Arabidopsis thaliana: one gene and its partner. The protein of the gene in region 1 interacts with the protein of each later gene in a biochemical or structural test. Each region holds a gene or a part of one and is shown on either strand. Other genes may lie near its edges.

Region 1 (3,778 bases):
ATACTTGTCTTTATTAGCAGCCTGTAGCCACAGGGGATCAACGTTGCAAGGTAAGTTCCTATGGAACCAAATGAAGGAACAGGGCATCAAAGCAGGGTTTAAGCACTACTCTTGCATGGTGAATTTAGTATCAAAAGCTGGGTTAGTAGACGAGGCACTGGAACTGATAGAACAATCTCCTCCCGGGAACAACCAAGCAGAGCTCTGGAGAACTCTGCTAAGCGCATGTGTTAACACAAGAAACTTGCAGATAGGACTATATGCAGCTGAGCAAATACTGAAACTTGATCCAGAAGACACTGCAACACACATTCTACTATCAAATTTATATGCAGTAAATGGGAGATGGGAGGATGTTGCAGAGATGAGAAGGAAGATTAGAGGATTAGCTTCATCTAAAGATCCAGGATTGAGCTGGATTGAAGTGAACAACAACAATACACAAGTTTTCTCCTCAGGAGACCAGTCGAACCCAGAAGTTGTAAGTCAAGCTCAAGATGAATTAAATAGATTAAAGAGAAATATGTTGTGCAAATCATCATTCAATAAACTTGTCTGTTCAAATTAAAAGTTTGTTCTAAACAAGTTTAGTCATTTCCATTCGAAATCAATTAAACGAAACAGAGCAGAAGAAAGTACCAAAGTTAAGAACATAGAGCCAAAAAAACACAAACTTTCTCTGTTTTCTAGTTTCCGAAGACAAGTTTCTAAATTGACAAGACACAAACTAAGAGATCAACATCACCAATAGAGACTAAAAAAAGGAAGAGACTTTGAAGCCCTTTGATGAAGACAGAAGCTTTTCTCATTTGAGTGAGTTTCCCGGAGTTGTGATGGAAAGATCCGGCCACGCAAAGTACTCACCGGAGACAAATCCACCACCAGCGTTGCTCTCTAAACCCTCGAACTGCCACGTGGCTGGCATTGGAACAGCGTGATGACCACCGTTACTCCCAACATTCGTCGTTGTCGCAGTACCAACAGTTGAAAACGGCCACATCGCTCTTCCGAGTCCAAAGCTGACGTCATCAAAACCCGACCCGAGTCCGATTCCAAAACCTCCGATACCAATAACCGAACCGGATCCATGCGTAGCCGTCGCAGCAGCGTTATGGTTCAACAGAGTGGAGGTGAAACTTCCACAGAGAGATAAAGCACTTCCCTTTCCGTCGCTTTCAGTTACTGTGTGAGTAACGCCGTTAGAGATTGACGACTGAGGGAAGAGAACAGGCGTCGTTTGTAACGGAACACCGTTAGAGTTAGAGACGACACCAGAAACAGAGGAGGAAGAAGAGTTCGAGCAAGTGCGGGAACGTTTCGCGCTTTTACGAGTACCACCACCGACAGGAACGTCACGGAGAGTACCACCGTGAGTCCAGTAACGACGACAAGCTTTGCAGAAGTGACGAGGCTGAGAGAAGTTGTAGTTGTTGTAGTAACAGAACTTAGTGTTGGATGAGTCACAACGAGGACATGGAAGCTGTTCTTGCTGGTCAGAAATCGGAACTGTTACGCCGTTAGGTTTCATAGCTATTCGCCGTGGTTCACCGGAGTCAGACGTCGGCATAATCGGAGAAAGGTTGAAGCTTTAAGGGAAGTGATGCAAAAGACTGAAGCTTTTTTGGTTTTAGGGTTTAAAGGTTGAAACTTTAGGGTATGAGAGAGTGAGAATTTGGTTTTTTATGGAGAAGAAAGAGAGAGACATGCGCAGATAGAAATGGGGATGGAGAAGAAAGTCAGGCTTGTTTTTGACAGAGGGTGTTGGGTTGATTAGAGGCCACGCTCTCTATCTCTCTCTTCTCTCTTGTCTTTGAAATTTGTCTTTTTATGAGGATTTGTTTATTATTGTTTAGCTTTGGAATTGTTGAGTCGGCTATGGGATTATTGTAAACAGTGAAATGCTCTGTTTTTCATCCCTATGAAGTCGGCTCTCTTCATACGTAGATGGCTCTGTTTTCAAAGTTTTCAGTTTTGGACTTTGAACAATGGATAAACACACACACACACACTTAAAAACACATCTTTAATTGTGGTTTAATACTTGGATTTATAGATTTTGTTTAGCTTTAGTTGCTAAGATTCGAGTTAACTTATACTACATATGGATACAACTATTTAAAGAAGGAAAAAACTCACATAGAATTCATGGTGGTGAGTGACATGAAAAAAAAAACATGATTTGTAATGATGGTCGCAATATTTGACTATCACAATTCCCAAACAAGCTTATTTATGTGAAATAGGCACACACAAACGTTTAATTGAAATATTTGAGGCATTTGAAAATGAGTAAAACGTAAAAAAAAATTCCTTAAAAACATCAACAGAGATAAAATTCACCGGTGTGGTTTTAATCGATGACTATAATTTTTGGTACCTAATTATCGGGAAAACATCATGATACATATTTTAGTCTTTTCTTTACCAACCTTATAAATCAATTTTTTGACAAAAAATGAAAATAATTGTACTTATGTGGCTAATAATGCTAAAGTTTGGTCATGACGTTGCTTTTATGTTTAAAGTTTTTTTTTTTTTTTGTCACATATGTTTAAAGTTTAAATTAGTACTAACAACAGTCAAAACTAATAATAATGACATGATTTTTTATCTTTCGTGGAAAAACAAAGACACGTTGATAAAAAAAAAAAATGATACGGAGATAACGCATACAGAGAGAGAGAGAGAGTAGGTCGCAGTAGGCAACACAGGTTTGGAGACTATTGAGCTTATCAATGTAATGTACGGCCCTTTCCCAGTAATTGTATATTTATCTCTTAAGATTCTTTCCATTATTATAATGTACCAAGCAAACGTATGTTTCCGATAACAATTAGTACTACTAATAGAGTAATTTAGTTTTTTTCTTCTAAAGCATCCGTAAATGTCAGAAGTTAAATTTATGTAAGCTCATTAATTTTCTATCGTAAGCGTAACTATTCGGAATTAAAAAGAATAAAGAATGAATGTTCGAGAAAGTAGGAAACAAGGGACACGTTTTTCAATCGTCTACGTTAAATTTTTTACTTTAAAATGGATAATTGGATTTATCCTATTACTTTATTTTTTGAGAAGAATTAAAAATTATTTGTTTCTTTGTTGGATCGATCAAGCAGCTTTTGAAATTAAAGTCCAAAAAAAATTGATCTTGTTTCATTTGTTCGCTGTCTTAGAAAAGACATTACTATATTGTAATGTACCGGAGATCTTTTGTTTGTTTATTACTCTATTTAGAGATTATTCTTTTTGAACACTTTTGTTTTAAGTTTTTTATTTCAAAGTATATAGACAGGTGACTGTCGCTTATTTGTTCACAAATTTCAATTTAAAACGGTAGTGGCGGTGGGCGGTGGACTATGTTCGTGTTTCACACAATATAAACACTAAAATTGTATTATGAATGATTTGATTATGACAAGCGAATCAGAATCTATCTTAGTCCACATACGACTAAACAATTTGTATTGGAGTATGACTTCTTAAGGACCACATTAATCCCACATCAACACCAAATCTATGCAATAAATATATAGGGTTATACTAAGATTTAAAGTTACATCATGGGACGAAAACAAACATAACCTTTTAAAAAAGAGAAACATGTAAATCCAAATAATAAGTTTTGATAAACTCTCGTTTTAAGTTTTGTTAACACATGGAAAAGTCATTACAAATAACGTCTGGTGAGCATGACTAAATGAGTGTTTATATGATCTATCATTGTGATCATATTTGTTCCAATTTAAAACTGTATATATGTTATGATAAGGTGAGGGAG
Region 2 (3,932 bases), on another chromosome or scaffold:
TGCAAGGATTTTCTTGAAACAAATAGATAGATTTGTGAAGTAGCCAATTGAGTAGATTGTTCATATGTACATTTGACTCATAATAGTTTTTATAGCCAAGTTGATTAATTAATCGAAGTAACTTACTTTCTAAATACTCATTATATATATATATATATATATATCTTACATTCTTTCTAAATTTCATATGAATATAATATATCAAATAAAGATATATGTCTTTCTAGAAACAAAAGAAAAAGAACGTAAAATAGGAAGAAAGTAAGAAAATTGAGGAAGTCTTTGCGACATTATCCCCAAGACAAAATGGGAACTATCATCATGTTAAGATTAACTTCCTTTTCTTCTCTTTCCTTTTGGTTCCTACCTTTGACTACATTTTATCTTCTTCTTTTACTTTACTCTTTTCTTCTACTATATTATATAAAAGCTGAATATTTATCAAAAATAAAATACGTATTCTGGTCAACATCTTTCGTCTAATAGTAATTTTGGTTGAAGTAAAAGATAGATAATCTAAAAGAAGATTATTAAAATCGTCGTGGAACGAGACCTATCATTTCCTGATCCCCCGAAACAAAAAATCATGAGTTGTAAGAGCATCCCCATCAGTTTTGAAAGCCCACAAAGAGAAGAAAGATTTAATTTGAAACCAAAAAGTTTTTTTGTCAAAAACTGAAAATGTCGAGAAATGGGCTGTAAGTAAGTTTATATAAAATTGGGCTTGTAACATAAGATTGAGAAATAATAATTTATGGCCCAATAAAGTGTTTTGAACAGATTTGGGTTTCGATAATGAGGAATAAAATGATTTCACAAAAAGTATAATATTATTTGGACAATGCCGACTAATCGAGGTTTTTAAAACCATTGTCTGTAACTAAAACAAGTATTGGTGCACACACGGTATCAATAAACCAACCTAGCCAATTTTCTCTTTAAAGAAACCATCAAAGCCAATAGAAAGTAATGTGATATGATTAACATAAAAAGAAAGTGGAACATTCCTCATTCAAAACCCGCACACTGAAGCCAGTATAAATAGCTTCGTGTATCTTTGGCATAGAATTGGAGACAGACAACTGATATAGGAAGATCCAACAATGGATTCATCGGCGGACATAGCAATATTAGTGGCAGATGAATGTAACCAAAAGGTGAATACAACGGCAGAGAAAGCATCGAATACAGCGGAGGTTGGGTGGTTGATGATGTTTGGGATTGAGGAGAAGAAGATTGAAAGTCTGATGAGGAAATTTGAAGCTAAATCTCAGTTTGCTGTGGCGGTTTCTAGTGGCTTTTTTCTGCTTAACTATGTTTCATCCTTGTACTATAAGTCACGTTTGAACCTCATGCTGGAAATCTAGTTTAGGCATGATGTTACTTTCATTTGCTTCTCTAATCACCAGAGGGCATGTTGCTTTAAGTTTCGAGTTCTACAAGCTTTGGTTTTATACTCTTTTGGGTTAGTTTTTAAGTACAGTTTCTTGTAAGTTAATGGAAACGGTGTCGTAGTAAGAAAAAACAAATCATCGTAGTAATTAAGCCTAATCCGATGCATTAATTAATCTCTGAAATTTGTTGGTTTGCACAAAAAAAAAAATTCCATTGTTGTTGTTCCACGGAACTCTAAAATGGAGAGTGGCGATGAGAGTCCGGTGGTTCTAATTACGGGATGTTCTCAGGGAGGAATTGGTCACGCGCTGGCCCGTGAGTTCACTGAGAAGGGATGTCGAGTGGTGGCGACGAGTCGATCACGGAGTACGATGACGGATCTGGAGCAAGATTCGAGGTTATTCGTGAAGGAGCTTGATGTGCAATCGGACCAGAATGTGAGTAAGGTTTTGTCGGAGGTTATTGATAAGTTCGGTAAGATCGACGTTCTTGTTAATAACGCCGGAGTTCAGTGCGTTGGACCTCTGGCGGAGACTCCAATTTCCGCCATGGAAAACACATTCAACACCAATGTTTTTGGTAATAAAGATTTGATTTTTAGTTTCAATTATTACATTTATTGGAGCTTCAACAGTTCTGGTTTTTTTGCTTATTAGTGAATCATTGGAATTTACAATCCATTTCAAATGTTGATTCTGTGGACATTCAAGGAACTCAAATACGTGTTGATCATGTGTGTTGCGTTTGGGCTGTTAGGAGAGTTTTGAAGAAGTGAATTTTTCAATGCAGGTTCCATGAGGATGACTCAAGCTGTTGTACCACACATGGTGTCTAAGAAAAAGGGAAAGATTGTCAACGTTGGAAGTATCACTGTTATGGCACCTGGTCCATGGGCTGGTGTCTATACAGCTACCAAAGCTGCTATTCATGCTCTTACCGATACTCTGAGGTTTGCTTTTACCGTTTTCAGATTTGGTTCCACTGTTTTAACTTATCAAACGCCGCTATTTGTGTCGTTTGAATAATCTTCCTATGTCGCATGCTGATATATATTCTGTTTGTTCTGTCAATGGAGATTTGATGGTAGTAAACTAAAAATTGTTGAAATGGTCTAATCTTTTTTTAAGGTGTGATCAAACTTGAGTATCATTATTTCTGAGGACTAAAGTCTGATGTTGGGTTAGGTTGATGATTCTTGATGTTCATGACAAGTGTAGTTGTTCAAATTATCCAGCACCGGATGGTTTTGGTTTGTCAATTGTTTTGTAATGTTTCCTGCTTAACGTCAGGTTGGAGCTTCGTCCGTTTGGGATTGATGTCATCAATGTTGTCCCGGGAGGAATAAGAACAAACATAGCAAACTCAGCTGTGGCAACTTTCAACAAAATGCCTGAGCTGAAACTATACAAGCCTTATGAAGAAGCTATCAGAGAAAGGGCGTTTATATCACAGAGGATGAATCCAACTCCTGCAGAAACATTTGCCAGAGACACTGTAGCCGCAGTGCTGAAGAAGAATCCACCCGCTTGGTTCTCGTCAGGCAGGTATTCAACCCTCATGGCAGTCATGTATCATATGCCCTTATGGCTCAAAGATTTTTTCCAGAAGCAGGTTTTAATGAAGAAGTGATAATCAGGTTGGGGTTTAAGACAGAATGTACCTTAAACACGAATGTAAAAGCTTTGTTCAAATTGTTAATTGAATCTCTTATGTCTCCATGTTTGAGTCAGTTCGGTTCTTAAGGTATAGAAGTATACATACATACAGGAAGGAGATAGAGAGTGAACAGGAGAAATTATTACATTATGTTGTAGAAACTTGTGGTACAAATATCTGTAACGGGAAAAGGTGAGGATTCTACAACCAGAGGAACAGTAGTTCTACTTTGATTTGACCCAACAATGTAACATCGAAACCGCATTCGAGCAGATAAAAAGGGTCAGAACTATCTAAAGCTATTAACTAACATCATTTCTATTTTAAGAATGGTGTGGAGCTCCGTAATACATTATCCCTGGTGGCTGGAAAGTTGGACCTTGTTGAGATTGCTGAGCTGAGTTCGACTGAGGAATTTGAGGCTGTTGATTACCTATCAAATGTGGTGGTGGTGGTGGTGGCGGAAGCCCAGGTGGCATTAACGGAATGTTGCCAAAGGCGTAAGGGTTATTCATTACCGGTGGTTTTAGGAACTGTGGTGGTGGTGGATTAGGTATTACATGGTACTGACCTTGTGTGGTAGGTGTCTGATTCTGGGAGTTGTTGTAAGAAGGGAATGAAGCATTAGTGTCTGAGACCGGAACTGTGCTCTCTGATTTGGATAGACCAGAAGTCTTTGTTGCTTCAGCTGCGAATGAAGATAGAACAGACTGCATTATCATATGTGATGAGGTTGACGCTGTGAGCATTGCAGCAATAGATGCAGGCGTCATTTTTGATGCTTGACCAGATTTGGTGTTGTCATTTGTCTCGGTTATCGTAGTGGCAGCAGTTGTTTGTTTTGATGTGTAATCCTCATCATTAAGCCGTTTCTGCATGTT

The links.
Region 2: the proteins of OBP1 (region 1) and TGA4 form a complex in vitro, tested with the Arabidopsis thaliana proteins (one study listed by BioGRID).

The regions. Positions count from the first base shown.
Region 1 is NC_003074.8:18,707,661-18,711,438, reverse strand, and holds OBP1 (OBF binding protein 1), read right to left. Parts: upstream 1,827-3,778; 5' UTR 1,568-1,826; coding exon 806-1,567; 3' UTR 603-805; downstream 1-602. Other genes in the region: AT3G50420 (Pentatricopeptide repeat (PPR) superfamily protein), read left to right, coding at 1-568. UniProt on the Arabidopsis thaliana protein: Transcription factor that binds specifically to a 5'-AA[AG]G-3' consensus core sequence. Enhances the DNA binding of OBF transcription factors to OCS elements.
Region 2 is NC_003076.8:3,142,620-3,146,551, forward strand, and holds the start of TGA4 (TGACG motif-binding factor 4), read right to left. Parts: upstream 1,635-3,932; 5' UTR 1,593-1,634; exon of another isoform or gene 1,581-1,592; intron 1,539-1,580; exon of another isoform or gene 1,368-1,538; coding exon of another isoform or gene 1,104-1,367; intron 1-1,103. Other genes in the region: AT5G10040 (uncharacterized protein), read left to right, coding at 1,104-1,367; AT5G10050 (NAD(P)-binding Rossmann-fold superfamily protein), read left to right, coding at 1,635-1,974, 2,185-2,344, 2,685-3,024; AT5G10060 (ENTH/VHS family protein), read right to left, coding at 3,375-3,932.